7 linked regions of the Oryzias latipes genome follow. The main gene of each other region encodes a partner of the protein of the gene in region 3 in a complex. Links are inferred from orthologs where the notes say so. Each region holds a gene or a part of one and is shown on either strand. Other genes may lie near its edges. The genes, in order: prpf6, prpf3, snrpe, snrnp200, srrm1, plrg1 and gemin5.

What was found.
Region 1: snrpe (region 3) and prpf6 share a complex: the UniProt entries of both Homo sapiens proteins name them as parts of the U4/U6-U5 tri-snRNP complex. The link is inferred for Oryzias latipes from reciprocal best matches to the Homo sapiens genes SNRPE and PRPF6.
Region 2: snrpe (region 3) and prpf3 share a complex: the UniProt entries of both Homo sapiens proteins name them as parts of the U4/U6-U5 tri-snRNP complex. The link is inferred for Oryzias latipes from reciprocal best matches to the Homo sapiens genes SNRPE and PRPF3.
Region 4: snrpe (region 3) and snrnp200 share a complex: the UniProt entries of both Homo sapiens proteins name them as parts of the U4/U6-U5 tri-snRNP complex. The link is inferred for Oryzias latipes from reciprocal best matches to the Homo sapiens genes SNRPE and SNRNP200.
Region 5: snrpe (region 3) and srrm1 share a complex: the UniProt entries of both Homo sapiens proteins name them as parts of the minor spliceosome. The link is inferred for Oryzias latipes from reciprocal best matches to the Homo sapiens genes SNRPE and SRRM1.
Region 6: snrpe (region 3) and plrg1 share a complex: the UniProt entries of both Homo sapiens proteins name them as parts of the minor spliceosome. The link is inferred for Oryzias latipes from reciprocal best matches to the Homo sapiens genes SNRPE and PLRG1.
Region 7: snrpe (region 3) and gemin5 share a complex: the UniProt entries of both Homo sapiens proteins name them as parts of the SMN-Sm complex. The link is inferred for Oryzias latipes from reciprocal best matches to the Homo sapiens genes SNRPE and GEMIN5.

The regions. Positions count from the first base shown.
Region 1 is NC_019865.2:15,463,921-15,467,539, reverse strand, and holds part of prpf6 (pre-mRNA-processing factor 6), read left to right. Parts: intron 1-1,648; coding exon 1,649-1,777; intron 1,778-1,878; coding exon 1,879-1,973; intron 1,974-2,320; coding exon 2,321-2,477; intron 2,478-3,619. UniProt on the Homo sapiens protein: Involved in pre-mRNA splicing as component of the U4/U6-U5 tri-snRNP complex, one of the building blocks of the spliceosome.
Region 2 is NC_019874.2:18,946,605-18,951,007, forward strand, and holds the start of prpf3 (U4/U6 small nuclear ribonucleoprotein Prp3), read left to right. Parts: upstream 1-1,533; 5' UTR 1,534-1,709; intron 1,710-2,092; 5' UTR 2,093-2,101; coding exon 2,102-2,246; intron 2,247-4,225; coding exon 4,226-4,356; intron 4,357-4,403. UniProt on the Homo sapiens protein: Plays a role in pre-mRNA splicing as component of the U4/U6-U5 tri-snRNP complex that is involved in spliceosome assembly, and as component of the precatalytic spliceosome (spliceosome B complex).
Region 3 is NC_019863.2:23,629,209-23,633,430, reverse strand, and holds snrpe (small nuclear ribonucleoprotein E), read left to right. Parts: upstream 1-1,377; 5' UTR 1,378-1,546; coding exon 1,547-1,600; intron 1,601-2,785; coding exon 2,786-2,812; intron 2,813-2,894; coding exon 2,895-2,957; intron 2,958-3,648; coding exon 3,649-3,727; intron 3,728-4,007; coding exon 4,008-4,063; 3' UTR 4,064-4,183; downstream 4,184-4,222. UniProt on the Homo sapiens protein: Plays a role in pre-mRNA splicing as a core component of the spliceosomal U1, U2, U4 and U5 small nuclear ribonucleoproteins (snRNPs), the building blocks of the spliceosome.
Region 4 is NC_019867.2:18,369,256-18,372,874, reverse strand, and holds part of snrnp200 (U5 small nuclear ribonucleoprotein 200 kDa helicase), read left to right. Parts: intron 1-802; coding exon 803-909; intron 910-993; coding exon 994-1,112; intron 1,113-1,202; coding exon 1,203-1,357; intron 1,358-1,431; coding exon 1,432-1,621; intron 1,622-1,715; coding exon 1,716-1,889; intron 1,890-2,013; coding exon 2,014-2,174; intron 2,175-2,262; coding exon 2,263-2,490; intron 2,491-2,580; coding exon 2,581-2,772; intron 2,773-2,856; coding exon 2,857-3,035; intron 3,036-3,113; coding exon 3,114-3,265; intron 3,266-3,375; coding exon 3,376-3,484; intron 3,485-3,561; coding exon 3,562-3,619. UniProt on the Homo sapiens protein: Catalyzes the ATP-dependent unwinding of U4/U6 RNA duplices, an essential step in the assembly of a catalytically active spliceosome. Plays a role in pre-mRNA splicing as a core component of precatalytic, catalytic and postcatalytic spliceosomal complexes.
Region 5 is NC_019880.2:16,877,984-16,881,602, reverse strand, and holds part of srrm1 (serine/arginine repetitive matrix protein 1), read right to left. Parts: intron 3,105-3,619; coding exon 2,982-3,104; intron 2,736-2,981; exon of another isoform or gene 2,612-2,735; intron 1-2,611. UniProt on the Homo sapiens protein: Part of pre- and post-splicing multiprotein mRNP complexes. As a component of the minor spliceosome, involved in the splicing of U12-type introns in pre-mRNAs. Involved in numerous pre-mRNA processing events.
Region 6 is NC_019859.2:20,801,076-20,805,223, forward strand, and holds the start of plrg1 (pleiotropic regulator 1), read left to right. Parts: upstream 1-1,308; 5' UTR 1,309-1,457; coding exon 1,458-1,466; intron 1,467-1,648; coding exon 1,649-1,755; intron 1,756-2,054; coding exon 2,055-2,191; intron 2,192-2,286; coding exon 2,287-2,340; intron 2,341-2,427; coding exon 2,428-2,521; intron 2,522-2,616; coding exon 2,617-2,698; intron 2,699-2,782; coding exon 2,783-2,881; intron 2,882-2,987; coding exon 2,988-3,080; intron 3,081-3,270; coding exon 3,271-3,420; intron 3,421-3,568; coding exon 3,569-3,670; intron 3,671-4,148. UniProt on the Homo sapiens protein: Involved in pre-mRNA splicing as component of the spliceosome. Component of the PRP19-CDC5L complex that forms an integral part of the spliceosome and is required for activating pre-mRNA splicing.
Region 7 is NC_019872.2:29,399,006-29,402,624, reverse strand, and holds part of gemin5 (gem-associated protein 5), read left to right. Parts: intron 1-53; coding exon 54-219; intron 220-608; coding exon 609-821; intron 822-1,253; coding exon 1,254-1,339; intron 1,340-2,138; coding exon 2,139-2,221; intron 2,222-2,417; coding exon 2,418-2,551; intron 2,552-3,619. UniProt on the Homo sapiens protein: The SMN complex catalyzes the assembly of small nuclear ribonucleoproteins (snRNPs), the building blocks of the spliceosome, and thereby plays an important role in the splicing of cellular pre-mRNAs.

The sequences.
Region 1 (3,619 bases), on a different chromosome or scaffold from region 3:
TACGCGCACACGCACAAGATCCAACTAGAAGCACTGAAAACCATGCATCATGCTGCAGTCCCAGTTTAGTCCAGCAGGGGTCAGGAAACTTCACCTAAAACAGTCTTAGCAACTGCCAAATGTTTATGATACTGCTACTTTGTAGCTTCTGTACAGCAGCCGTGAGCTGATGGGTATTTGGACAGTAACAAGATGGAATTAGTTTATTGGTTTTAGTGCTTTATAACTGCAGTCCTGAATTCAGGCTGTGGAACTGTGGCCCTCCTTTGGCTTGTTCTTCTCTTATTATTCATTCTTATTCTTTCGTGCGTTTTTTTGTCCGTTCATATCTTCTGCATATTTTATCTGATTTCTGCCATTCAAGTATCAAAATGTCCTGCAAATTGAGGACATTATTGCTATCTTCTGCGATTTCTGCTACAACTTATGGTTTTTCTGCAATTCAACAAAATTGCTGCAAAATGTTGCCATAGAAGTACATAGGGGAAGGCTCTTCAGCAACTTCAAACTTACTGCAAAGCTAACTTCTGCATACTTTATGCCGTTCAAAAAATTCAAACATGCATTTGTTCTGCTCTTTTGTAGACTTTTCTGCTGTCTTTAAACCATTTTGGTAACATTTAAAGTTTTTCAAAATTTTAAGTTGTTTGAATTTCAAATATAATGGAAGTCAATGGAGACAGTGCTTCAACTTCTCTGTTTTTGAAATGCATCTCCTCCTATAATTTCTCAACAATTATTTTAATCTGACGTATAGTTGAGACACAGCATCATTTTGTTTGGGACATCTGTCCATCTCAGACTCTGTAGCGTTTGTGCCTACGTAGATGACATATACAGCTGCGAGCAGTCCTGGAATTTGAACCCGTTGCCATGGAGACAGCACTCTCTTTCAGACACGCACAGACACACTGAGACGGGCTTTGCAAAAGTTCAGGGGACCTTTGACACTTTCAATGACACATAGATGTTTTTTTATTCAAAGTTTCAAACACAAATCCCCGTGTTTGGAATAAATTCTGTTTGTATGAACAGCTTTAACTAGCATAGCATTAAACCTTTATATTAACATCATGCTAGCTGTAGGTGCAAATGTAGACATTCCTTTACATTTTTGTTATGTAACCATTACATCTACATTGTGCTGGCTCACTTATGTTAGATCATTTAATTTGACATCTATCAAGGGTTTTCAAGCTAATTTGGCATTTAGCTAAAAATTTTACAGGTTTTTTTGCAATGTGAATTAATTGCAGCATTATAATGGTGATGTCTTCTGCAGCTTGGCAATCCGAAAACCTCTGCAGATTTTACGCAAACAGCTTCAGCAATTTATCCAGCCTTTTTCTTTTCAATACATTTCAGCTTCCTCTGCTAAAAGTTATGCGATTAAGCCAATAAAAGCAACCACCTTTTGCAATTAGTCAGTTAATCGTATATACCCAGGAAATGCAACTTTTCTAGTTATTCTTGGCACATTTTTTGTCATTTTCAGTTCACAGCATAGAAAAGCAGTTTCACACATTTACAGTTTGTTCACATTATATATTCTATCTTGTTACACTTGTGAGGGAACTGTAATTGGAAACCGAATTCCCTGGAACAATAATGCTCCTTCTCTTCTAACATTATTTCCTGTCTGCACTAGCTGGGGGGCCTGAACACACCTTACCCTGGGAGCATGACCCCTGGTCTGATGACACCTGGAACAGGAGAACTGGATATGAGGAAAATTGGTCAGGCCAGGAACACTCTCATGGATATGAGGCTCAGTCAGGTATGCTTTTTGTGTAATTCAGTATGACTTCCTCTTTAATCTGCTTGTGTTCTGCAGTGATATGGATAATTGTTCTGTTGCGTTTGACTTTTGCTGTGCAGGTGTCAGATTCTGTGAGCGGGCAGACAGTCGTGGACCCTAAAGGATACCTCACAGATCTGAACTCCATGATCCCAACTTATGGAGGAGACATCAGGTAACGACAGCGCGGCCGTAACTTCTTTTCTTTTATACGCGTTTGTGATCCCACCATCAGATGTTTCCACTTCCTTGCATAACAGATAAGATTTTCTATGCATTAACCAAAAAAAGCATCGGATAAACCTTTTGTGTGAAAGAAAGTGGGAAAGATTAAATCAAAGCGCTATCTAAAGCTGTGCATTTTTCTAATTTTTATTTTTATTTTATTTGGTAAGTGCGAACTGTAAAGTTGGGGAGATAGCTTCTAAATTTGCATCTCAATGAGTAAGAGGTTCCCGGGAATGTGGGAAGTTGTTGAGATTGTCTGTTTTTGATCATTTGTATCTAACTCTTTGGGTGCAGTGACATCAAGAAGGCTCGCTTGCTGCTGAAATCAGTGAGGGAGACCAACCCCCATCATCCACCTGCTTGGATTGCTTCGGCCAGGCTGGAAGAGGTCACTGGTAAACTTCAGGTGGCGAGGAACCTGATAATGAAAGGCACAGAAATGTGCCCAAAGGTAAATTTGAGGTTATTGCAGGCTTGATCGAAGGGGTGTGACAATCACAGCATCACCGCATCGGTGATGACCGCATCACAGCACGTTTTTTTCTTCTGCATATGGTGTGTGATTGGAACTAATAAACACATTAAACACATTCATCTTTGCTGATAATTTACTTTTTCTGCTAGTCCCGTGTTCAGACTTCAGGGGCTTCTGGGGGAAACCTTTTATTACTGTTCTCCTTCACTCCCTGCGCGGCTCTCACTCCCTCTTGCGCCCCACACGCTCCCTCTCCTTACACACACGTGCGCGGTTTCAGCAGCACATACAAATCCTCATTGTACAACAGAAATTCCGTCTCGCGAGGAAATGCGACAAATTTACTGCGTTCTAATTATTCATTTCCATTACAAGTTGCGTGGGTGGTGGTGTTTATTACTGTTCTCCTTCACTCCGTAACACCAAACACGAACGGGCTCTGTTAGATTTCGATGAATATCACTACATGTTTTGTTTGGGAATTATTTCGTGCAGCGCAAAGTTACGTGTCTGTATAAACAAAGGCGGAGCCTCCCGCCACGTGTTCTTCATGGGTGTCAGGCTTCATGGCTACCGGAAAGGTGACAAAGTGTCTGCAGTCTGTTTATTACTGGGCAATATATAATATTCTGAGAAGATGTCTGTACCAGAGAGCACAGGTGAAGCCTTGCTTGCAGCTCCAGAGCGGTCCGCTGCAGAAGAATTAACACACTTGTGTGCTCCTTCCTCCTACATACGCAGCGTGCTGACACACATACACATAGTCATTCTACAACACCTATATAGTTAGTTCATTAGGTGGATAGGTAGTAGTTAGTGGTTACTGTTATTTGTTAATAAAGAATACTGCGTTGTAATTGTATTCATTTGCAACGCAGCCGCGGGGGTATTTTGTGTTTGGCCGGGGGGGGGTTAACCGCCACACCGCCCCCGCTGCTGGTTCATCACCGCGGTGATCAAAAATCCCACACCGTCACAGCTCTACTTGATCGTCTGTAAAATGTTTTATTTTTGAATGAAAATATTTCACTTTATTGTGGTATCTATAAATGCAAACCGAACTTTCTAGCATTTCAGTTTTCCTGTTCATTTATGAAAGAATCTTTCATGAGGATTTG
Region 2 (4,403 bases), on a different chromosome or scaffold from region 3:
TCTTTCATGGAGGTACCATCATTTTTGTCCAGCCCTATTTCATTAGGTTTTTTTTTTTAATAATTCTGTCAATCAACAACTCAGAAGTAATGGCTGATTTTGATTATTTAATTTTCAATTAATTTGAATTTATAATTTTATTGTTACTTTTGAACGTTTAAAGTCATTTCAGTGAGCCTTGTGGACTTTCTTTCTTTAACTGAGGGATACCAACAGTTTTGTCCACCACTATTTTAAAGGTTCATTGGGACAATTATTTTAATGTATTACATTTTTCTAGTAAGTGTAAATAGCTTTGCAGAGCATTTTTACAAAAGAAATTGCAATTTGTTAGCACTGACATGGATTATTATACAGAGAAGAGCCACTGTGTGGTAGCCTCAGGCTCACCACTGCTCATTCAGGCTCGCTCTACTACAAATGCACTCAGTTGACCCACATCACGCAAACCAATAGACACCCAGGGGCGGATCTGGAGTGGAGTGGGAAGGAAAGCACTTGATAAGCCAAAGATTTTTTTTTTTGGGGGGGGGGGGCTTTTTTTTGTAAGTTGACCGAGTATCTAAGTGCAGTGCTTGAGTAATGTTTAACTTAAGACTGAACTTAAGGGTTATGCGTAGCCTAAGCAGAAAATTGTGATTTACCATTCAAAGAAACTTTTCACTTCATGAACAAAAAGATGATGCCACTACATTTTGGAACTGCAATTAAATTTGCCCATGTCTTAAAATGCAAAAATCTCCTATATTGTGGTATTACAGTTTTCTCTTACGTTTGGTTAGATTTTGTTAGCAGTGGTTTAAAAAATGTTTGTGTTTATCTGTGGTAACACAACTACATTTTACTAGGACAGAAATTAAAATGCAAATACTTGCATTGCTCATTTGTATAAATAATAGTTATAATTTTCATAACACACATGCAGAAGAACACTCACAATGCATAATAAACATTGTTTTTATCACTGAAATTACTATTGTAAAATATATTATAAAATGTGCAGTATAAAGTACCTTAAAAAGGTATTCTGCTTACTAAATGCAAGCTACTTATTGAATAGGCTAACGTTTCTCAAGTTTAATTGAAACAAAAAAAGAATATAAAAAAAAAGAAACAAAAAAAAGAATATCAAAAAAAAGAAAGAATATCATGCAATCTGATTGTTTAAGTTTCACTTTGGACTATTTCCTATAAAATATGCCTTATTTAATCAAAAAATGTATGGAAGAAAATATTTGCACATAATTTAACTTTGGCCAGCTAGGCAAATACATTTTCAATCCCTTAACAAGACTTTACAGACAAAACAATTCCTTTGTGTTGTCAGCTGTCAGGTGAATTTCCTTGACTTGCTGAATTTTTGCTAATATTTAATGAACACTTTTAAATATATTATAGAAGCGGTTTTGACTTTTATTTTTTAAAGTGCCTTTATGAAAGCGCATAAACAACTGCAAGAGAAATGACATAGATGGCGAAAATCAAACAAAGCACGGTAAAAAGACTGAGAAGGATAAGTCGAGAAGAAGAATTTACGTCATTTCCTCTTCCGGGTCTCGTGGAAGAAACGTTACATGTACGGAGCGGCTAATCAGAAAGTTTGAAAGAAATGTTCAGGCTTTAGAGATTTGTACCCTTGAAATTAGATTCTTTTTGTGGGTAATTTAGAGTATATCTAAAGTAAAGAGGATTGTAGACAAAACTGAGAGGTTTGTATCCACCTTTAAGCCGCTATTAGCAGATTTCGGTAGCTCCCAAATGTAGCAATATGCTAACGTGTGCTAGCAGCGGTCGATGAGTTTTGGCGCAAGTAGCTAGTAGAGTTTAGCTTGTTTGCTATTTTGGTTAGTCTGGTTATTGATATGTTTTGATATGAAGCAACATTTTGTTAACTTAACTTTCATTTTTTATGACAAAAGGCAAACTTGTCCTCAAATGTGTTCGACATTTTTGACACGCAGGAGGGTCTCTCTGTGTCATGGCTTGTGATTAATAATGCCACTTGTGTAGCTCTCACTCATCAACTTTGTCAACAATAGGACTCCTGTTCCAACAAGAACTAAAAAAGACATCTGCGTGCTGTGTTTTGAAGGGCAGAAGGATGTCTCTTCCCAAGCGGGAGGTGGAGGAGTTGAGACCGTGGGTGGAGCGCACTGTGAAGAAGGTGTTGGGGTTTTCAGAGCCCACGGTGGTCACTGCAGCTTTACACTGTGTGGGGAAAGGATTGGACAAAAGGAAGACCACGGGTAAATTCCATGCTCATTTGCATGAAGAAAGAAGTTTTCAATCATTAGTAATTAATTCTGTTGTGGTTATTTTCATTTTTTTGTTCTGTTTTATTCCATCTTTGATGACACAGTTACTTGTGCATTTCTGAATTTAAGCGTCTCTTATTCATCTTGTTTTGAGGTTGCACATTAAGATAGTCTTATAATATAAAGCAAAAACAAACTCGTAAAAAATTTTAAGAGATTCTTTTGTTTGTCAAATGTTTGGTGCTTTTAGCTTTCCCGTAAACATTTGCTTATGATTACAGTCACTAATGGTCTTAGTCTAATAGTGTTTTTCAACCGTTGTGCCGTGTGATATTACCCATTTTCACTGATCTAAAAACATTTACCAAATCTAGGATATCAGCTCTGTGTTCATCCAAACAGGCCCCAAGAAAGCACTAAGTAGTTGGGAATATGAAAGATCGTAAAATACTTTTTTCTTTGTGTTTATTTGATTCTATTAAAGACATTTTGATAAGGCTGCACGTTGGCACAGTGGTTAGCACTCTTGCCTCACAGCAAGAAGGCCCCCAGTTCAAGTCCCAGCTGGGGGAACCAGAACATCAATGGGGGACCTATCTGTGTGGAGTTTGCATGTTCTCCCCGTACATGCGTGGGTTCTCTCCGGGGCCTCCGGCTTCCTCCCACAGCGACCTCCCACCTGTCCGTTCATACAACTCTAAATTGTCCCTAGGTGTGACTGTGAGAGTGCATGGGTGTGTGACCTGCGACAGACTGGCAACCTGTCCAGGGTGTCCCCTGCCTTCGCCCACAAGTGATGGGCTCCGGCAGCCCGTGATCCCGAAAGGGACAAAACGGAAGAAGATCATGAATGAACGAATGGCGGTACCGCGAGTTAGCCGCAGCTTCAGCTCTGTTTTTGGAAAAGTCCCACCCCTTTAACCCCTCCACCAATCATTCTTGGAGGTTTAATCCTGCGTCAACAGTCTGACCTCTCAGAAGTGGTTAAAGTCATCACTTCCTTGTTCTGATTTAGCTTTTTCCACTACATTTCCCATGATGCATTGGGTTAACGTGACAGCGTCTCAGCGGACGAGTCTTCCCTGTTAAACGTCTTGAAACCACAACAAACACACATCAGTTTTTAAATCTTCTTTATTAAATCAAAGGTCAACAGTTTAGTTTTCTTCAAGGTTTGTGTTTTTTTAATAACATCCAAACATCCCAGAGTTTGGTCCAAGTCATCTTTATTAATGAAACATTTTTCTTATAAGGTCTGTAAGAAATAGGATAATGTTGAAGTGGCCGAGAGACACAATCAAACAGAATTGAAACAATTTAATAATCTAAAAAGAAATAAAACATTTCTGTTAAAGTTTTCAAAGAATTAATCTTTGATTAAGACAAGAGAAAAACTAATAAAACTTCAACATGTTCACTTTTGATGTAGCTACAGAAAACATAAATATGTTAGTTTTGGTGTGTAAAACTTAACAATCATATTGTGATCATATAACTGTTCAAAAATTACAGTTGCCTTTGCACCAACATTGAAAAAAAATTGTAAAAAGTATATTATTTAGAAAGAATGTATTTGTTTTTTTGTGAGGTTACATGAAATTGCATGTTAATAAACTGGAGGGGAAAAAACATCTACCAGGGTAAATTTTCAATTAATTTATTTGAAAGTTATTACGGAAAACTAACTTAACTTTTATTACATCTTTTAGAAAAAACTGCTGCAACTTCCAGCTTTTTTGCCACAATTATCACAAAAATGTCTGTGATTGCGGAGGGACTGTAAATCAATACAGACTATAGAGTTTCTCCTTTTTTTTATTTTTGGATGCTTGTGTGCCGCAGGAATTTTGTCAAGGATAAAGTGTGCCTTGGCTCAAAAGAGGTTGAAAAACACTGGTCTTATATTAAGAAATGATTATCAACGAACTGTTGAATACATTGTTAATCATTTGACTCTTAATTGTCCTCAGACCAGTTGCGTCCCTTCCTCGAAGACTCAGCTGGTGGATTTGTTGAACGTCTTTTTGAAGCTCTTGAGGAAAGTAGAAGCAGCCGTGGCAGCAAAGGATCTGGAGAAAAGAACCGGAAGAGAGAACTTAAGGTAAATTAATGAATAAAAATTAATGATTTAGGCCTGCACAATATATT
Region 3 (4,222 bases):
CCTGAGACTGGAAGGTCATGGGTTCAAACCCAGGCTGAGTCATACCAAAGACTGCTGGACACTCAGCATTAAGGGGTTGGATTGGGGGGGTTAAATCCACCAAAATGGTTCCCGAGTGCAGCTGTGTCTGCAGCTCACCGCTCCCCCAGGATGGGTCAAATGCGGAAACAAATTTCGCACACTTAGGTGTGTGAGAGAGAGTGGGGTTTAATTTAATTTAATTTAACACACATGTAATTAGAAAGTCACATACATGTTTTTATGTTTTATATTCTTAATTTAGCTCACAAAAATCTTAGGTGGGGAAAAAACACTCCTCAATGGAGCTCATGTTCCTGCTAAATTCATAGGTCTGCATCTGCAGGTGAAAATATATTTCACATTTAATCAAAAACAAAAGTTATGCGATAAATTCTAAACCTTTTTGAAGAAAGAACACTACTGAACAAGAAGAATCATTTGTACCTCTCACCTTCTTGACTAAATACTTTTATAGACAACTTCTTTAAATCGACTGCACTTTTTAACAATGTTTATTGTAGAACTCAGATTAGAACTTTAAGTTTATTTATAAGGAAAGTGAAGTGAAACCTTTTACTAATGTTCATCTTGGGCTCGAGTTGTTTCTTATGTTTTTGTTTTTCTCTGCTGCCCTCTTTTGGATAAAATAGGTCACTGCTGTGACAGTAGAACCTGGTCAAGATAAATGTTTAGGAAATAGTTTACAAAATTAAACTCTAATATTGAAAACAAAATTACTTGTAAGAAAATAATAATAATAAAAAGTTTGAACAATTATGGAAAAATTACAAAAATTATCAACAATTTTCACTTATTGAATTTGTGTTGCAAAAACAACTACAGTAATTACATATCTGTATGCTTGTTAATATTATGTGTAATAGGAAAATAAAAAAATAAAAATCTAAATGATAAATTAGACTATATACATCCAACAATTGAACATCTATGAAGTAAATGACGCTATATCCAAACTAGTTGATGTATCAATATTTAAACCTTCTTTTCTGCTATATGAAAGCTGTTCAAATATTATTGGTACTTGTGTTAATCACTGAAATTAATCCAAGCAAAAATAAACGATTACTGAAAATGTACAAGAAAAAAGTCGAAGCAAAACCTTTGTATTTTTCCCTTCAGGATTAAGAAATAAATATGTACTGAAACAGACGTTGACAAAAAATATGGTGACTCAAAAACAACTTAATTATTAAATTTAGCCTTTTAATTGGTACCAGATGTGTTTTCATACTTTTTATAAGTCATAATTAGTCTGCATATTTGAAGGATTTCACACTGAACGTAATTTTTGACCAAATATCAAATTGTGCAGTATTGACATCCTGCCTGTAGGTGGCGCTTGTTCGGTGAAGGGAAACCTTTCAGTGCAGGAACCGGATGCGGAAAGAAACCCGCCATTAAGGCAACTTGGCATCGTGAGCTGAACGTTGAAATCATTCAATTGTAAAAGGCAATATTTCTTTAACGAAATACTTCTTGCGTGTCTTTTTTGCGTGTGAAGAGAATGGCTTACCGAGGACAAGGACAGAAGGTGCAGAAGGTTATGGTGCAGCCCATTGTATCCTTTCTTTGCTGTTAGCATTTGTTAGCAGCGATGCTAATCGGTTATTTCTCGTGTTTGCTCATCGGTAAACTGTATTCCTTTTTTTTCTAGGTACTACATGACTTTCTAAATACATTGGAATGCATATTTACTGACTTTTTTTAATTTCAGTATTGAAGCACGTATTTTTCTGTTTATCGATCAAATTTAAGCACGACGTTGTACTTCGAAAGAAATTGAATTTGAAACAAACATTTTTAGCATTTTCTAAACGTACATAGCAATATGATGGGTTATCAATTTACTATTATACATTTTACAAAAATACGTTTGTTTAATTGGAAAGAAGAAAACAATGACACGTTTACCTTTGGCAGAGTTTTCTTTTAGTGAAAAAAGAAGTCAACAATCGAGATGTTGCACTTAACGACTTAAACTAATAATATTAGTTAAATGCACTACTTTGGTCTGATAATTAAATGTTCTTTTGATTTGTTGTAACAATTGGTCATATTTTGTAGTTTTTTATTTGGTTTTTAACTTAACTCAAGTTTGTCCCTGTGAGTGTGTGAGACCTGTTTTCTTATTTTTCTTGATTATGAAGTGACATGTCATCTATAAAAAAATAAAAAAGATGTTAAAGAAATTAAGAATACCATTAAAATTTGACTCGTAAAAAAACCCCTAACAAAGTCAATAAATAAGAGAAAATCTAATGCCAGAACCCGTTTTAAATCCATTTTTAAGCGTGTCTTCAGTTGTTTTGACATGGTTGCCCTACAGTTTACGTTATAACGTGGATACATCAGCAGAAGTTAAATAGTAAACTGTAAAACTCTAGAACAATTGCAGAATTTCTGTAAGCTGGTAAAAGGCATAACTAACGTTAAAAGACCGCCGATAATACTTCAAAAATAGATCAAAATGATCTGAGTGGGACTTTCGAGCAAATTCTGCGTCATCCATAGCTTTATTTCATCATTTCGGTCATGTAATTGGTTTGTGAAGTCCTTTTTCACTGGCTTACATTGAAATGTATGACATTCACTGGTATTTAACAGGATCTCAGCTCTCCGGTTAAAGTGCAAAACAGTTTGTGTCACTCTACTGAAATTGAAATGACTAGTTCATGTTATTTGAAATATCTTCTGTAACATTGAAACGGTTTAGACATGTCATTTCCTTGACTCTGTTCATCAGAACCTCATTTTCAGATACCTTCAGAACGTGAGTATTGAAGGCTCTTGCAGGTTCACCTTTTGTCTCGGTGGTGACTGAAATACTGATTCGTGTCATCTTTGCTTTGCAGCGCTCACGAATCCAGGTGTGGCTTTATGAGCAGGTGAACATGCGGATAGAAGGCTGCATCATTGTAAGATTTCTCTTTATTTTACTTTCACAGTGTTTGTTAACTTTCCAAATGTGTGCCACAGTTACTTTAAAACTGGTATAGACTGTAAAAACGATCGACGATTCCAGGTTTTCCTTCTCCGCTCCAAAAGGGGGAACAAGAGAAAGTTTGAGAACCACTGACCTAGCATTTTAGTTATTTTTTTTATTGGAGCTTGGTAAAAGTTCTTAATGGCTGGTGTTAGATCCACAATAATCAACTTAAAACTGTTTTGCAGAAATTTTTTCTACGACTATTTTGGGGCTCTGTTTTAGCTGCTTTTGCAGCGGGCACCTTTCTTACCAGTAGAGCAGAACTCTGCAGCTGATTTAAAAATGTATTTGAAAACGGCAACAAAAAAAACACACACTGGTTCAGACTCACAATACAGTAGGTAAATGATCAATGAGAACAGCATAATGACAAACTAAGCATGAATTAGGAGACCAATTGAAATTGCCGGTCCTACACTCTTGACACTTTAATCTATTTTCAGAACATTCTCGGTGATCTTTTAACTATGATTATGCTGTTTTTAGCCGAAATAAAAACAAACAACCTGTGCCGTTTTCTTGGGGGGGAAAAACCTTGAGAGCCTGAATTTAAATGAATCCAAACAGCTTCAGTTATGAAAGTAGTTAATTGATTATTTCCTTTTTATTTTATTTTCCAGGGCTTTGATGAGTACATGAACCTGGTTCTAGATGATGCTGAGGAGGTCCACATGAAGACCAAGAACAGAAAGCCACTGGGTAAGACTCTTTAGCTTGTTTAATTTGTTAAATTTCAGTTACTATTTTTTGATCTTAGCAGTTATTAGAACAGCTTTATTTATTTATTTTACAATGAAAAATTTGAATATTCTTTGTATTTATTAACATGTACTGTTAGCTTTTGTTTCTAGAACTGCTGTAACAAAATATTTGTTTGAGGAAAACATAGAAATATTTTTCCAGTCAGTATTTATTTGTTATACACTCAGGAATGTCAGTTTTTAAAATGTCAAGATAAATTTCTTTCCTTGTTTCACAGGTCGGGTTATGTTAAAGGGCGACAACATCACCTTGCTGCAGAGTGTCTCTACCTAGTGACACCAGTGACGACTGCAGATCCTGTCTTTTTTTTCTGTTAACTGCTTACGATTTTATGCATAAATGTGAGTTTCTCTACAACCTTTGAGAATAAATGGCTTTGTTTTTTTCCAGAAATGTTTTCTGTGTGTTTATCTAAAATTTAACTGTATTGTA
Region 4 (3,619 bases), on a different chromosome or scaffold from region 3:
ATAATAAATCATTTTGACATGCGCAGAACTATGTAAAATACCGGATATGACCATAAAAGAAGAAATGGCGAGTTCTTTTAAGATCTTTTAAGCGTGCTCTTATTATTGTTATTATTATTAAGTGCCTGATGCTCATAATTTTCTAAATATGTGCAGCCAGTGCTTTATTCTTGGCTGCATGTACCCAGAAGAAGGGTTAGGATTAGGTTAATACGTGCTAACAACATTTGGCCGTGGATGCAGTTAAAATCCTTTTGGTCAATGCTGCAATGTGCATCTTGGCTGCACATAGGTATGTGGGCATAACGTCAGCCTTTATTTTGACTGGACATGATTGAAAACACAAATTCACTTAATTATTTGCGCGGTTTCTCAGGACTGCTCAGTGCAGTGCATTTCCGCATTCAATAGCTGCCTCCGCCATCTCACACACCGTTCTGAAGCTGCTCCTCTGCTTGGAGACACGAAGCTACGAGTCCGGCTGCTCTGCTCACAGATGTGGCTCGCTCGCGCGGAGCAGCCTCTGGAGCACCACACCGTGTGTGCATGACATAAAAGCCAAAGCCGTAGTGACCCAGGATCGACAAAAACTGTTTATATGCACCACGATCGGATCAACATTCGACATAACACGCCTACCTCGATCAGAAGGACATTTTGATCCAAATGAGTCTGTTCAAAGTGTTTACTTGACGCATTTTTATTCTGATCAGGCGTTTATTCCGATTACTTTTGTCTATGTAACTGCAGCTATTGTTGCACATTAGTTTGCCTGAAGAATAATGCGGTTCTCTTTCTTCAGAGTGCTGGACGGTTGATGCGCGCCATATTTGAGATCGTGCTAAACCGAGGCTGGGCTCAGCTCACAGATAAGACCATGAACCTGTGCAAGATGATCGACAAGAGAATGCAAGTGTCTTTTATGTTACTAAAGAAATACATTTTCTATCTTGAAGCTGGATTCTCATGCTTTATGTTCTGATTTTCCTACAGGTGGCAGTCGATGTCTCCTTTGCGTCAGTTCAAAAAGCTGCCAGAGGAAGTGGTCAAGAAGATTGAGAAGAAAAACTTCCCTTTTGAGCGTCTGTACGATCTCAACCACAATGAGATTGGTGAGTTTCTCGCTTCATGAAGCATTTTCATTCTATGCTGTCCTTTGCCTGCAGGACACTGAAAAAGCTGTTGTCTTCCTCTTTGTGTAGGCGAACTGATTCGAATGCCAAAGATGGGGAAGACCATTCACAAATACGTCCATCAGTTCCCAAGACTGGACCTCGCCGTTCATCTCCAGCCCATCACTCGCTCCACTCTGAAAGTGGAGCTCACCATCACGCCTGACTTCCAGTGGGACGATAAGGTCTGTGGCTGTAACTCGGGGACGTTTCCCTTCTGAAAAGCTTTTCCTGTTTCTAAGCTTCCCTTTCTGCTTAGATTCACGGATCATCTGAAGCTTTCTGGATCCTGGTGGAGGACGTTGACAGTGAAGTGATCCTCCACCACGAGTACTTCCTCCTTAAAGCCAAGTACGCCCAGGACGAACATCTGGTGACGTTCTTTGTCCCCGTGTTTGAGCCTCTGCCTCCTCAGTATTTCATCCGCATGGTTTCAGACCGATGGCTCTGTAAGTAGCTCAAAGAGAACTGCAATGCAGAATTCCTCTGCTCTCCACTGTACAACTTCGCCTGACACCTTTCTCGTTTCTGTTTTTCTCTCAGCCTGTGAGACTCAGCTCCCAGTGTCCTTCCGCCACCTCATCTTGCCAGAGAAGTACCCCCCACCCACTGAGCTGCTGGACCTGCAGCCGCTGCCCGTCACTGCTCTCAGGAACTCTGCCTTTGAAGCTCTCTACCAGAACAAGTTTCCGTTCTTCAATCCAATTCAGACACAAGGTATTTGGAAAAACGAAACCCAGACAAAAAGATGGAATATCCCATTTTCAGACTGATCTGTTTGACTCAAACCAGAGCTCTGTATTCACATCTTTTTCTTTTCTTACTCCTTTCTCCAAATCAGTCTTCAATGCCGTGTACAACAGTGACGATAATGTGTTTGTGGGAGCTCCCACTGGGAGTGGAAAGACCATCTGTGCGGAGTTTGCCATTCTCAGAATGCTGCTGCACAACACAGAAGGCCGCTGTGTGTATATCACTCCCATGGAAGCACTGGCTGAGCAGGTACAATGTCATGGAAGAACTCTGTGAAGCCCACATCCATTTGGAGAATCGGACCGCTTGTAGCTTCATGATGGCTTCTCTCTTTCAGGTCTTTGTTGACTGGCATCAGAAGTTCCAGGACATCCTGAACAAGAAGGTGGTGCTCCTAACTGGGGAGACCAGCACCGATCTGAAGCTTTTGGGGAAAGGGGACATCATCATCAGCACCCCAGACAAATGGGACATCTTGTCTCGTCGCTGGAAACAGAGAAAGAATGTGCAGAACGTCAGCCTTTTCATTGTGGATGAAGCACACCTTATTGGTGGAGAAAATGGAGTAAGAAGTGTTTTAGTCTCTGTAAACAGCAGGTGTTTGCATCACTGTATGTAGATTGTCTAATCGATGGGACTTTGGTTGTGTTTTTAGCCGGTGTTGGAGGTTATCTGCTCCAGAATGAGGTACATCTCCTCACAAATCGAGCGTCCCATCCGCATCGTCGCCCTCAGCTCGTCTCTGTCCAATGCCAAAGACATGGCTCACTGGCTGGGCTGCAGCACCACGGCCACCTTTAATTTCCACCCAAATGTCAGACCTGTGCCTCTGGAGCTGCACATTCAGGTTCATTAACATGTCTACCTGTAAATGATCAAAGCCACAAATACAGGATCCTTTTGTTAACATGGACCTTCTCTGTTCCTGCAGGGTTTCAACGTCAGTCATACTCAGACACGGCTGCTTTCCATGGCCAAGCCAGTCTATCATGCCATCATGAAGCACTCCCCATCCAAGCCGGCGGTGGTGTTCGTACCGTCACGCCGACAGACCCGCCTCACTGCCATTGACATCCTCACTTTCTGCGCCGCCGACGTGGTTCCTCAGAGGTTGGTCACCAGATGTGACTCCACTCTCTGGGTTTGGAATCAAATCTTTACACAAAGGTGAAACCTGTTTCTTTGAAGGTTCTTGCATTGCACCGAGAAAGACCTGGTACCATTCCTGGAGAAAATAAATGATCCCACTCTGAAAGAGACTCTGGCCAATGGTGTGGGATATCTGCATGAAGGCCTGTCAGCAACTGAACGCAAAATAGTGGAACAGCTGTTCAACTCGGGTATGATTCATTCCTGGACTTCATTGTTGATACGAGAAGAATTTTTCATCAACATGCAAAGCATTAGAAAAATAAATTTCTGAATGATTGATGGTAATTCTTTCATCCAGGTGCTGTCCAGGTGGTTGTTTCTTCTCGTTCTCTCTGCTGGGGAATTAGCATCTCTGCACATTTGGTCATTGTCATGGACACCCAGTACTACAATGGAAAAATCCATGCGTAAGGATCAGGCTGTCCCAACCTCTATAGCGGCTCAGAAATATATTTTCAATCATTTTTGTTTTGTTTTCTTTCAGATATGTGGATTATCCCATTTATGACGTTCTCCAGATGGTGGGCAAAGCAAACAGACCC
Region 5 (3,619 bases), on a different chromosome or scaffold from region 3:
ACAGAATGTGCTGCTTAGAGAACAAAAACTTTTTTGCACTACGATTTGGTTAAAAATTGCAAATTACAATGCTGTTTTTGCCTTTAAACAAAGGTCTGTCTTTAAAATCACATGCAGTTGGGCTAATTTTAAACTTGCGTATGTTTAGTTTGATTTTTTTAATGTATTTTTACATCAATGCAAATTGTTGAAACATAATAACTGAAAAGTATTGCATCTTGTAGCTCACCTGCCATGCACCAAAATAACTCATGTTTGTTGGTCTAGAGCAGTGTTTTTCAACCAGTGTGCCGCGGCACACTAGTGTGCCGTGGGAGATGGTCAAGTGCGCCGTGGAGAAATTGCCCTCATTAACTGATCTAAAAATGTTTTCCATCTCCAGGAAATAAACTCTTTGTTCATCCAAACAGGCCCTGATAAAACACTGAGTAGTTAGGAATATAAAAGATCTTAAAATTACTTTTTCTTTGTGTTTATTTAATTCTATTAAAGACATTTTGATAAGAATCACGGTACCGCGATTTAGCTGCAGCTATAACTGTGTAAGGAAAAGTCCCGTCCCTTTAACTGTCTCTGCCAATCATTCTTGAAGGCTTAATCACATGTCATCAGTCTGACCAATCAGAAGTGGTTAAAGTCTTCACTTCCTTGTTCTTAATTCTGCTGATAAAGTCGCTCAGTTCTAACAAAAATACCAGCTAGAGCTCGTCTTTAGCTGGGGGGGGGCTGTCGATCAATACAGACCATGAATTTCTGCTTTTGTTTTTTTGGATGGGTTAAAGTGTGCCGTGGCTCAAAAAAGGTTGAAAAACACTGATCTAGAGAGCTAACAGTTACAGGAAACAAGATGAATGTCAACATTAAAGACTTTTTTTGAGGATCTTAAGGCAGTCTTCACAGGTACATCCCCCCCCCGCCTTTTTTTTTTAAATCTACATAAGACATTTAAGGTTGTCTTTACAAGTTACATCTGTTAATAAAATAGAAACATGCCTAAACTGATACGTTATATTTGCGCTGCACATCTTTTTGGAGATTGGAGCAATATTACATTAAACTGGAGAGTCGATAACATAAAACTTTTAGTCAAGATGGTGGTGAAACAATACTTTTCAGTCTGATACACAGTGATGAAAGTCAGGTAAGGAAAAAATCCCTGAACTTTTCTTTGAGCGATATGGCGGGCACAGAGCGAAATTTTGGAAAAATACGTGGTCTTAGATGTATTCTGGTGCATTCTGGCAGCTAGTTATTCACTTCTTTATCAAGAAACTAAGACTAATTGGAGCATCATGATTTGTCATTCAAACCCCTAGTTTGACTCTCCATTAAGGACTTGCTGGTCCCAAAAAAGAATTTGGAAAATTGCTCAAAGTAACACAATCCTACAATCTATGCTTTTCCTTAAAGCTGCAAAACATACAATTGCTAAAATATAGTAACATCAAAGCCCCAAATGGCAAAAAGAACACCAGTAACTATGATATTCTATGAAAATACCTCAGTTATTTATACATTATTTCTGCTTTAGAAATGACTGATGTACAACATCCACTTGCACTGTTTTCTCAAACTATAATTACATCAAAATATGGGATCTGCTTTAAACTTTAATTCTATAACATAATACATCAATTCTTTAACACCAATACTAAGTAATCTGGGAAATATCAAAACAAACATACAAACTAAACAAAACATTGTAAACATTATTTTTTAAGGGAGTGCGGGTCCAAACCATCAAATACTTATAATTAATGTTAACTATACTGAACTAAATCATGGTAATTAGGAAATACAAATAAATTAGATAAAGAAATGTATTCAAAATAAAAACTGAAACTCAAAACTAAAATTGAAATTATTTCAAAATGTGGTTTTGAGATTATTTTACACAAAAAAGTATTTGACCTACACTACCTTAAAAATCTTTTTTTTCCAGCCAAGACCACTTCAATTTGTTTTTTATCGTCTTCTCACAACTGAGGTCGTGACCACGCTCAATAATGACGATGCCTGCCATTATTTTAACACAAATTTGATCGCAAACTCTTCAGATGTGTTTGTGAAAGTTTAGCGTGGGTCCGCCAGTTTTGGTCTCTAGGGAAGCAAGTCACGCTGACCACGTGGTGCAGACAGAGCCAATCAGACCCATCGACGCATCCGAAAGCAACTAAAACGTCCCGTCATTGGTCAATTAGGCCGGGAAGACGAGAGATGGCCACGACCATAGAGGAAGCGATCTGCGGATAAATATAGAAAATAAAGCTAAAATTAGCTGATTTCAGACCATTTTTTAATCCGGAAAGCGATTTGTCCGTAGAGATCAGGTCTTTATTTCCCGGAAAGTACGTTCGGTTTGCTCAAAAACCCGGATTTCCGGGAATTCCCGGAAGACTTTCATCACTGGATACAGTTAAAGATAAAGACTGATAATGTTGAAAACAGGCTTCAAACTTTACGCCTTCTATTTTTGTTTGAGTCTCCAGCTATTTTTAATGGGATCTCAGCAATTATGAACTGCAAAGTCCTACAGAGAATACAACTGTTCAAATCTTCAGCTGTGCCTTTCACAGACATGAAATAGGTGATCCCTGTAACCAAAACTCACCTCAAACCACAAACTGCATCATGAAGGGAGAGTTGGGCTCTGTGACTTTGGGCTCAGGAGAGAGCTAATTAGATGTTGGTGCTATACTTCTGATGCAAGGTTTAACATCCATATTGGTTCAGGCCTTTTAAATCATAAATCACATCATCATTAGAAAACTGCTGAATAAAGGCACTTTGTCAAATAACAGCAAAACATGTCAATGTCATAAATCACTTTTACACCAATTTGTCTCTTTACCCATTTACTTTCAGGAGTATTATTAGGATGATTTACTTGCTTGCATCCCTTCTTACTGGCTACAAATTGCCCTAAAAATAATCAAAGCTGTAACAAACCAAAACAAAGGAGAGACAATTTCAAACATTACCTTCTCCTCGAGTTGGTTGAAAATGAACTCAATGACCACATCGTCTTCAAATCCCAGAATCTCTGTCACACGCTGAGTAATCCAAGGTTTGATGACTTCTAGGTTCACTTTGGTCATGTCCACCTGAGGGAAACCAAACAAATCGTCAAGTAAACCAGTGACTAAAGACAAAACAGTCCATGTTAAAGAAAGAACAACATAAACATTTAAACTTGAAACATGTATATATACTCATTATTTTTGGACCCATATTTCTACACATTGATTTTAAGACTTAGAATAGAATTTAAAGTCCTACTTTGATCATCTTTTTATCTTATGTAAACATGTTTCCAGTGGTCTTTTCATTATGATTGTGTTGTTTATAGCCAGAATTAATGCATTAATAATAATAAATAATAGTCTTATTGTTTTCTAGTACATAATTCATAGTATTAGTTCATTGAAATGTGCTTCCATGTTGTGGACGGGACTGTTGGTGCTGAGTAACCCTCACATCTTCCCGTCATCCATCTGCGTGCTTTGCTGCGAGCTTACAGCCCCTCACAACCCCAACCTAACATTAGTTGTGCAACCAAAATGCCGAGCAATATTGGAGCTATCCAGTCGTACAGTTTTGAGCCAGATGCCAGCTCAGA
Region 6 (4,148 bases), on a different chromosome or scaffold from region 3:
AACGAATATTCAGTTTGACACCAAAAAGAGTCAAATCAAGAGGCCCTATGAACACAGAACGCTTAAAGTTCCACTCTGATCGTCTTTTGATCTATTAGAAAAGCGTTCCCTGTGCTTTTTAATTGTGCCACTTTTTGGCACAAATTGAAAAACGTATCGTTTTCTAAGACATAGTTTCTGCAGTGCAACAGTAAGTCATTAGAAAATCACCTCTGAGTTGTGGGCAGGACTGTTGGTGTGGAGCAATCCTGCCCCCCTTCCCCAAAGCACAGAGCAGGAAGCTTCTGACCCACCTAGGGTATTTTCTGCATATCAAATGCAACCTTTTTCAAACAGTATTTTTTTATCTGCTCCTGATTTACATTTGAATAAAGAAATACTCCGAAATGCAATTTGCAGCTAAATTTTCTTTATAAATGTCCTCCATCATGAGAAAAATGGCTGAAGAACATGTTAAAAACACAGAAAACACAATTTTCAGGTCTTTGATGAAAATCAACTGTGCTGTGAACCACTGAAATCAAAGGCAGGAGGTAGAAAATGAAATTACAAGCATAGATAAGGACAGCAAGAACTGAAGAAAAACCTGAAAATGTATCTTCAGAGCACTAATAATACATTGACAACCAAGAAATAACTGGAATCCAATTATATAAGATTAGATGATTGTACTATTTTCAGGCTGCTTTGGTTGTTGCAGGAATTTATCCAAATCAAATTTTCCTTTGAAATATTTACTGTAAATTATTTCATCTCTTAATAAATGAGTTCATTGCTTTTTTTGTGAAACCTTTTTATTAAAACAATATTTAATAAATAATAAAATTGGTTTAAAAGGGAAATTTAACAGCAAAAGATTAATAAACTAAAACAAATCAAACCAACTTGTGGATAAAATCAACAATTGTGAACTTCTAAATAGAGCAGACTCAGTAGTGTCCAGCCTACATGTATGAGAGGCTGGAAGAATGGTCATTAGCAAAGGGGAATAAGTAATTCCCAGACACTAGTTCTTTTTCACATCAAAAACAAAATGTTTTATTTTTTATTATTATTTTTTTATATGAACCCTTAATTTATTTCTGCACCAAATGTGTAAACGGCACAGAACTGTTTAAATTTGCCTTTTTACTGAATAATTAAAAAAAATGTTGAAACCCCCTAAAATATGTATATGTATTTCAAAACGTCCCGGAGAAATTGCGAAAAATGGGGGCTTGATAATAGAAAAACATAATCTCCGCCACTGTGAGACGCTGGGATGAGACGTACCGCCAGAGGGCGCTCATAAAATAAATCTTTTAGCCTTTCAGGCTGTTGTACTTCCGGGTCATGCAGACTCGTTTGTCGCGGCGGTGGACTGTTTTTGTCGCTTTGCTACACCTACGGTGTTCGTGGATTATATTCACCGAAAACTACTTAACTGCAGTGTGATATCAATCTTTATTATCGCCACAATGACCGAGGTGAGACTTTATTTGAGTTATTTGATTTTCTTTGGTCCACGCTTTAGACTCACACAGCACTGGACCCGTCTAACTACTGGATGTTAACGTTCTGAATCTTCACACGTTGTAGTGTATCCCCCCTGATAAATCACATGGACTCGTCTTTCAAGTAAACTTTTTTTTCCTTCTAATTGTTACAGGAAGTCCAGAAACACTCAGTCCACACTTTGGTCTTCAGATCCTTGAAAAGGACTCATGACATGTTCGTGGCTGACCATGCTAAAGCCGTCGCTTTAGATGATGAAAGGTATACTGAGCTTTTACATTTATGACTTCTGTATTTAAAATGTGTATCATCACTTTAGTTAAAACTCACGGTCATGCTAATCGTGCGTTCATAATATGTTTATTAGTTTATTATGCAATAGTTCACATCAAAAGGGTTACTTTAACCTTTTAGGCATGCATTGGGAGAAAATATATTTTTTCATGTTTTGATTATAAACATCTTTGGCACTTGGAGATGGTTTGTCTATATGTTTCCACTTCACGTGGGCACACGGGTGGGTTTGCGTTGAAGCTCCTCTTTTTTTTTTTCGTTTTAAGCCACAAGTTGAAGTTGGCCGTGAAGCTAAAGGCAGACTACAGTCCTGTGTTACACATGCCAGTGCTAAAAGAAGGAAAGGACAGGATGTCACAGTATCCAGACGGTCTCCACGACAACGAAGCTTACATGCAGCCGGGTGAGTGGGAAGCATCACCGTTCAGTGTTTTTGGTTTTAAATTGTAAAAATCTGACTTTTTTTTCTTGTTTGTCTTTGGTTTCCGACAACTTCAGCAGATGATCCTGAATATCTGATCACGGGAACGCACGCTTATCCCTCTGGACCTGGTAAATACTTTCCTTTTAGCCAAGCTTAAAGGAACTTTATTCATTTTTTTAGCCAGCTTTTTATTATCTATGTCTTTAACCCAACAGGAGTCGCCCTGACAGCTGACACAAAAGTGCACAGAAACCCCAGTGAGTCAGGAATCCACTCCTTGGCTCTGGCTTTACCACCATCACAAGCAAGGTAATCCTGTTCAGTCAATCAATACAAATAGTACTGAATCAACTTTTCGGGATTCATTGATATATCTATTTTTTGTCTTCTGATGGCTGTTTTAGACAAGAGTCCAGCCGCACTGCAGCCACAGTTGCAGAGATCCGTCGTGGAGCAGAAAGAGCTCACGCTCAGTCCACCGCTCTGGTACATCACAAGCTTCTTAAGCGCTTTTTTTTCTCACCCAGTCTTGGTTGACAAAATTCTAACGCAACAATCTGTTCGTTGCAGCTGCTCTTGGAAGGAGGCGGCACCAGAAATTCCAACCTCTTGAGGAGAACGCCGGTCATGCCCAAACCGCAGTGGCATCCTCCCTGGAAACTCTTTAGAGTAACTGCAAATTATCCTTGAACTCCTTTTCAGTTGTGTCAAATCCGGTGACGGAGGGGAAGCAACATCTCACGTGATTACTAAAAAGGTTTTTGTCACCTGACAGGTCATCAGCGGCCACCTGGGCTGGGTCAGGTCCATCGCTGTGGAGCCTGGAAATCAGTGGTTTGTGACAGGATCTGCAGATAGAACAATAAAGGTTATCTCTTCTCTATTTTTTATTTTATTTATACAATACGTTGTTCTGATTGTTTTTATACTGTTTTTACACTACAAAGCTTTTTTTCTTCTCCTTTTTGCATTTGTTGAGGTGGAACAGCAAAAAAAAAAAGAACCAGGAGTGTTTTGTTACAGGGAAAGGATATCATGAGACTTGCTTTTTCCTTCAGATCTGGGACCTGGCCAGTGGGAAGCTGAAACTGTCTCTGACTGGACACATCAGTACAGTGCGTGGAGTGGCGGTGAGCAGCCGCAGTCCGTACCTTTTCTCCTGCGGAGAGGATAAGCAAGTCAAATGCTGGGATCTAGAGTACAACAAGGTACAAGCTTCTCTTCACAATATCTCTAAAAAAAAACATTTTAGGGCTGTTTGAATATAAACAAAGACAAAAAGTTCAGTCATTTCTTTCTTTTTCTTCATACGTCAGAGTTTTGGTGTTTTAGTGACATGAGTATTTTGTGTTTTAGGTAATCCGGCACTATCATGGCCACCTCAGTGCTGTGTATGATTTGGACCTTCATCCAACTATTGATGTCTTGATGACGTGCAGCAGAGATGCCACAGCGAGGGTAAGATCGGAATCCACTCATTACTCTTTATATATGTCACACATGGAAGAAAAATCCTACATGACAGACAAGAAGTGACAAAGCTCAGATCTTTAAATAAATAAATACAGATGTATTAAAAATAATCCTGCTCAAATGTCTAGAGCTGCAGAAAAAAATTGTTTTTGTTTTATCATAGGAACCATAGTTGGGGTTTTTGGAGAAAGCAAAACACTTTTGAGTTCTTTTGTGTATGAACAAATGTAAACGCCCCTGTAAACAAAAGTTCAATTTAAGGACACTGATCCAAAAAAGAAAAACATTCCTCGTTTATCCAAAATACACCATGAGGGTCTGAAATCGTGGCAAAAACAAGGAAGTCAGACTATAATTGTTAGAATTAGGAATTCTACAATTAGTCCCTGGAAAGGAAATTTCTTTTTTTTAATGCCAATATTTTTAAAGAATGATATTTGCTGTGCATTTATCGAAAATGCAA
Region 7 (3,619 bases), on a different chromosome or scaffold from region 3:
GCGTCCCGCTCGGAGCTGCGACCGCACCTTCATGTTCCTCTGTGCTCCCCCAGCGGAGAGCTGCTGCTGTGGGACCTGACCAAAGGCGGGAAGCAGCGCTGGACGTTGTTCGGGTCCTCCTCAGAGGGTCAGAACCACAGCCGGATCGTCTTCAACACCAGCTCGCTGCGTCTGCAGGACGGAGGGGAGCTGCTCTTCAGCACCTCCATGGACCGGGAGGCGAGTCTTCTCCTGCTAAACACAAAAGATCTGATTTCAGAATCAGATCTTTTGGCTTCAAACTCAGAAATTTCTTCCATTTCGTTCAGATTTCTGCAGCTATTCTTCATTTTCAGTATGAAGTTGTCCGATTCTTGTGCTGCAGAGGTGAAGGCTGAAGGAAAACTGCTTTGTGATTCATGATAAAATCCTCCGAGCAGCTCCCAGATCTTGGCATGAAAGCGGATTTCTCCTGTTAGATCTGCAGTAATAATAGTTATGTGTGTTCATGACAGGAAGACGGATCCTTTAGTGGTTTTTATGAATGAATCCGTTTAGCGTTCCCTTCTTCAGGTGTTCTCCAGGGAAACCTGCAGGTCAGATCTGTGACTTTTGTTCTCCATCCTCAGATCAAATGTTGGGACCTGAAGACCCTCAGCTGCTGCTGGACCCTCTTCTCCCTGGGGGGCGTGGTGTACTCCCTGACCTTCTCCCCTGTGGGTGCAGGATGTTTGGCGGTGGGCGCGGGGGACAACATGATCCGGGTGTGGAACACTCTGAGCAGCCAGAACAAGTACGACATCCGGACCTTCTGGCAAGGCGTCAAGTCCAAAGTGACTGCGGTAAAGAGATTTCTGGAAGGCGGGGGTCCATGTTGGGGGGCTCTATTGGTGCTCAGACCTTTGAGGGGCTTTGAGGGAGAAAGCAGAGAACAACAGTGAAAAACTAGAATTATAAATCTGGATTTTATAACAAGTATAGATTTGATTATTAGATCTGCTTTTCCAGAGGCTCAGCGTTCTTCCAGAGTGTCCATCATTCAGTCAGACTTGGTGATGGTAGCTACTGATGTAACCTCAGCTGCCCTGGGGCAGACTGGTGGGGCATATACGGTTGACTGGGGGGAGCGGGGATCAAACCGCCGACCCTTTGTTAGAGTCAGAGGTTTGATGCTCCTGCTGCAGACGTGGAGGAGCGTTTGAACGTTTGAAGTGATGTCGTCTCTGGCGTCGGTTTGAGTCCATAAAGTGAGACTCCTGTGTTTGTCTCTGCAGCTGGCGTGGCACCCCCAGAAAGAGGGAACCCTGTCTTTTGGAACAGAAGACGGTAAAGTGGGAATCTACGAGGTCTTCTCCAGCAGGTACGGATGGCATCGATTCCTTCAGCTTTTCTGACACAGGTTTTCAGAAACATGGCTAACATTTGTCAGCCTCCTGAGCTCCTGCTGAAGGTCCCGCTCACATGGTCTGCACCTGTTCCTGGAGCTGGATGTTTTTACCCAGCAGTCTTTGCTCCCCCTGACCGGGACCTTCAGCAGAACACAGACAGAAGCATCTGAGCTTTCACAAATGGACCCCTGAATAGGATTGTGACGATCCAAACTCCTTTTGATGAGGATGAGGATGATGAGGATGATGATGATGATGAGGATGATGATGGAGGAGGAGGATGATGATGATGATGATGATGAGGATGATGGAGGAGGAGGATGATGATGATGATGATGATGAGGATGATGGAGGAGGAGGATGATGATGATGATGATGATGATGGAGGAGGAGGATGATGATGATGATGATGATGAGGATGATGATGGAGGAGGAGGTTGTTTCATGTCTTAGGGAGCTGACAAACCCAGTGTGAGGAAGGAAAACCGGCTTGAATGACCATTGAGGGCAGCAGTGTAGCTCAGGCGGTAGAGCAGGTCGTCCAACACCCAAAGGGTCGGTGGATCGATCCCCCCGAGCGCGGCCAGTCTGCAGCTCACTGCTCCCCCCAGGGGACGGGGCCAAATGTGGAGAAGAATTTTCCCATTGTGGGATAAATAAAGTATCAATTATTATTGGGATGGACTTGGAGCGATGAAGCTCGTCTGCTCCTGAACCTCCTGGAGTCATTTTCCCGCCATCTGACGGTTCTTCTTCTCCTCCTCCTCTCAGGCCTCCTCAGATATCCAGCTCCTACCACAGGAAGACTGTGTACACGCTGGCCTGGGGGCCCCCCGTGCCCCCGCTGTCCTTCGGTAAGTCTCTGTGGGACGTTCTGACGCCAAACAACGACCTTTCACCTCAGCTCAAAGACATTTTCTTTTTCCAGCTTAACGAATGAATCAGTTTATAAAAGGCCATAATCAATACTTAGAAATCACTGGGAAAGGGAGACTTTGTTTAGTCTCTCCGGCAGAGGTTCACACTGACCAAACCATGTGAACCGTTCAGGTACAGCGGGAAAGCAGAGCTTCGGCCTGTACAGCTGCGCAGGCGAAGGCGTGATTCTGCAGCACGACCCGGCAAAGCTGAGCAGCGAGGCAACGGACATCGACAGGCTCATCAAAGACACCAACGACATCAAGGTGGGACGATGGGGACCCGAGGAAAAGGAAAAGCAGCTTTTGTGGTCGTCGGGATGCTCTTAAAAGCACACTTGAGTAAAGACAGCCGCCTGGCAATGCTGAGGGGGCGGCTCTTGAAGGAAACTTCTCAGGCTGAGACTGGCGGCGAGTTTCTGCCGTTTCAGGCTGAGGCTGGCGGCGAGTTTCTGCCGTTTCAGGCTGAGACTGGCGGCGAGTTTCTGCCGTTTTAGGCTGAGACTGGCGGCGAGTTTCTGCCGTTTCAGGCTGAGACTGGCGGCGAGTTTCTGCCGTTTCAGGCTGAGACTGGCGGCGAGTTTCTGCCGTTTCAGGCTGAGGCTGGCGGCGAGTTTCTGCCGTTTCAGGCTGAGACTGGCGGCGAGTTTCTGCCGTTTCAGGCTGAGACTGGCGGCGAGTTTCTGCCGTTTCAGGCTGAGACTGGCGGCGAGTTTCTGCCGTTTCAGGCTGAGACTGGCGGCGAGTTTCTGCCGTTTCAGGCTGAGACTGGCGGCGAGTTTCTGCCGTTTCAGGCTGAGACTGGCGGCAAGTTTCTGCCGTTACAGGCTGAGAATGACGGCGAGTTTCTGCCGTTTCAGGCTGAGAATGGCGGCGAGTTTCAGGCTGAGACTGGCGGCGAGTTTCTGCCGTTTCAGGCTGAGAATGGCGGCGAGTTTCTGCCGTTTCAGGCTGAGACTGGCGGCGAGTTTCTGCCGTTTCAGGCTGAGACTGGCGGCGAGTTTCTGCCGTTTCAGGCTGAGACTGGCGGCGAGTTTCTGCCGTTTCAGGCTGAGACTGGCGGCGAGTTTCTGCCGTTTCAGGCTGAGACTGGCGGCGAGTTTCTGCCGTTTCAGGCTGAGACTGGCGGCGAGTTTCTGCCGTTTCAGGCTGAGACTGGCGGCGAGTTTCTGCCGTTACAGGCTGAGAATGGCGGCGAGTTTCTGCCGTTTCAGGCTGAGAATGGCGGCGAGTTTCTGCCGTTTCAGGCTGAGAATGGCGGCGAGTTTCTGCCGTTTCAGGCTGAGACTGGCGGCGAGTTTCTGCCGTTACAGGCTGAGAATGGCGGCGAGTTTC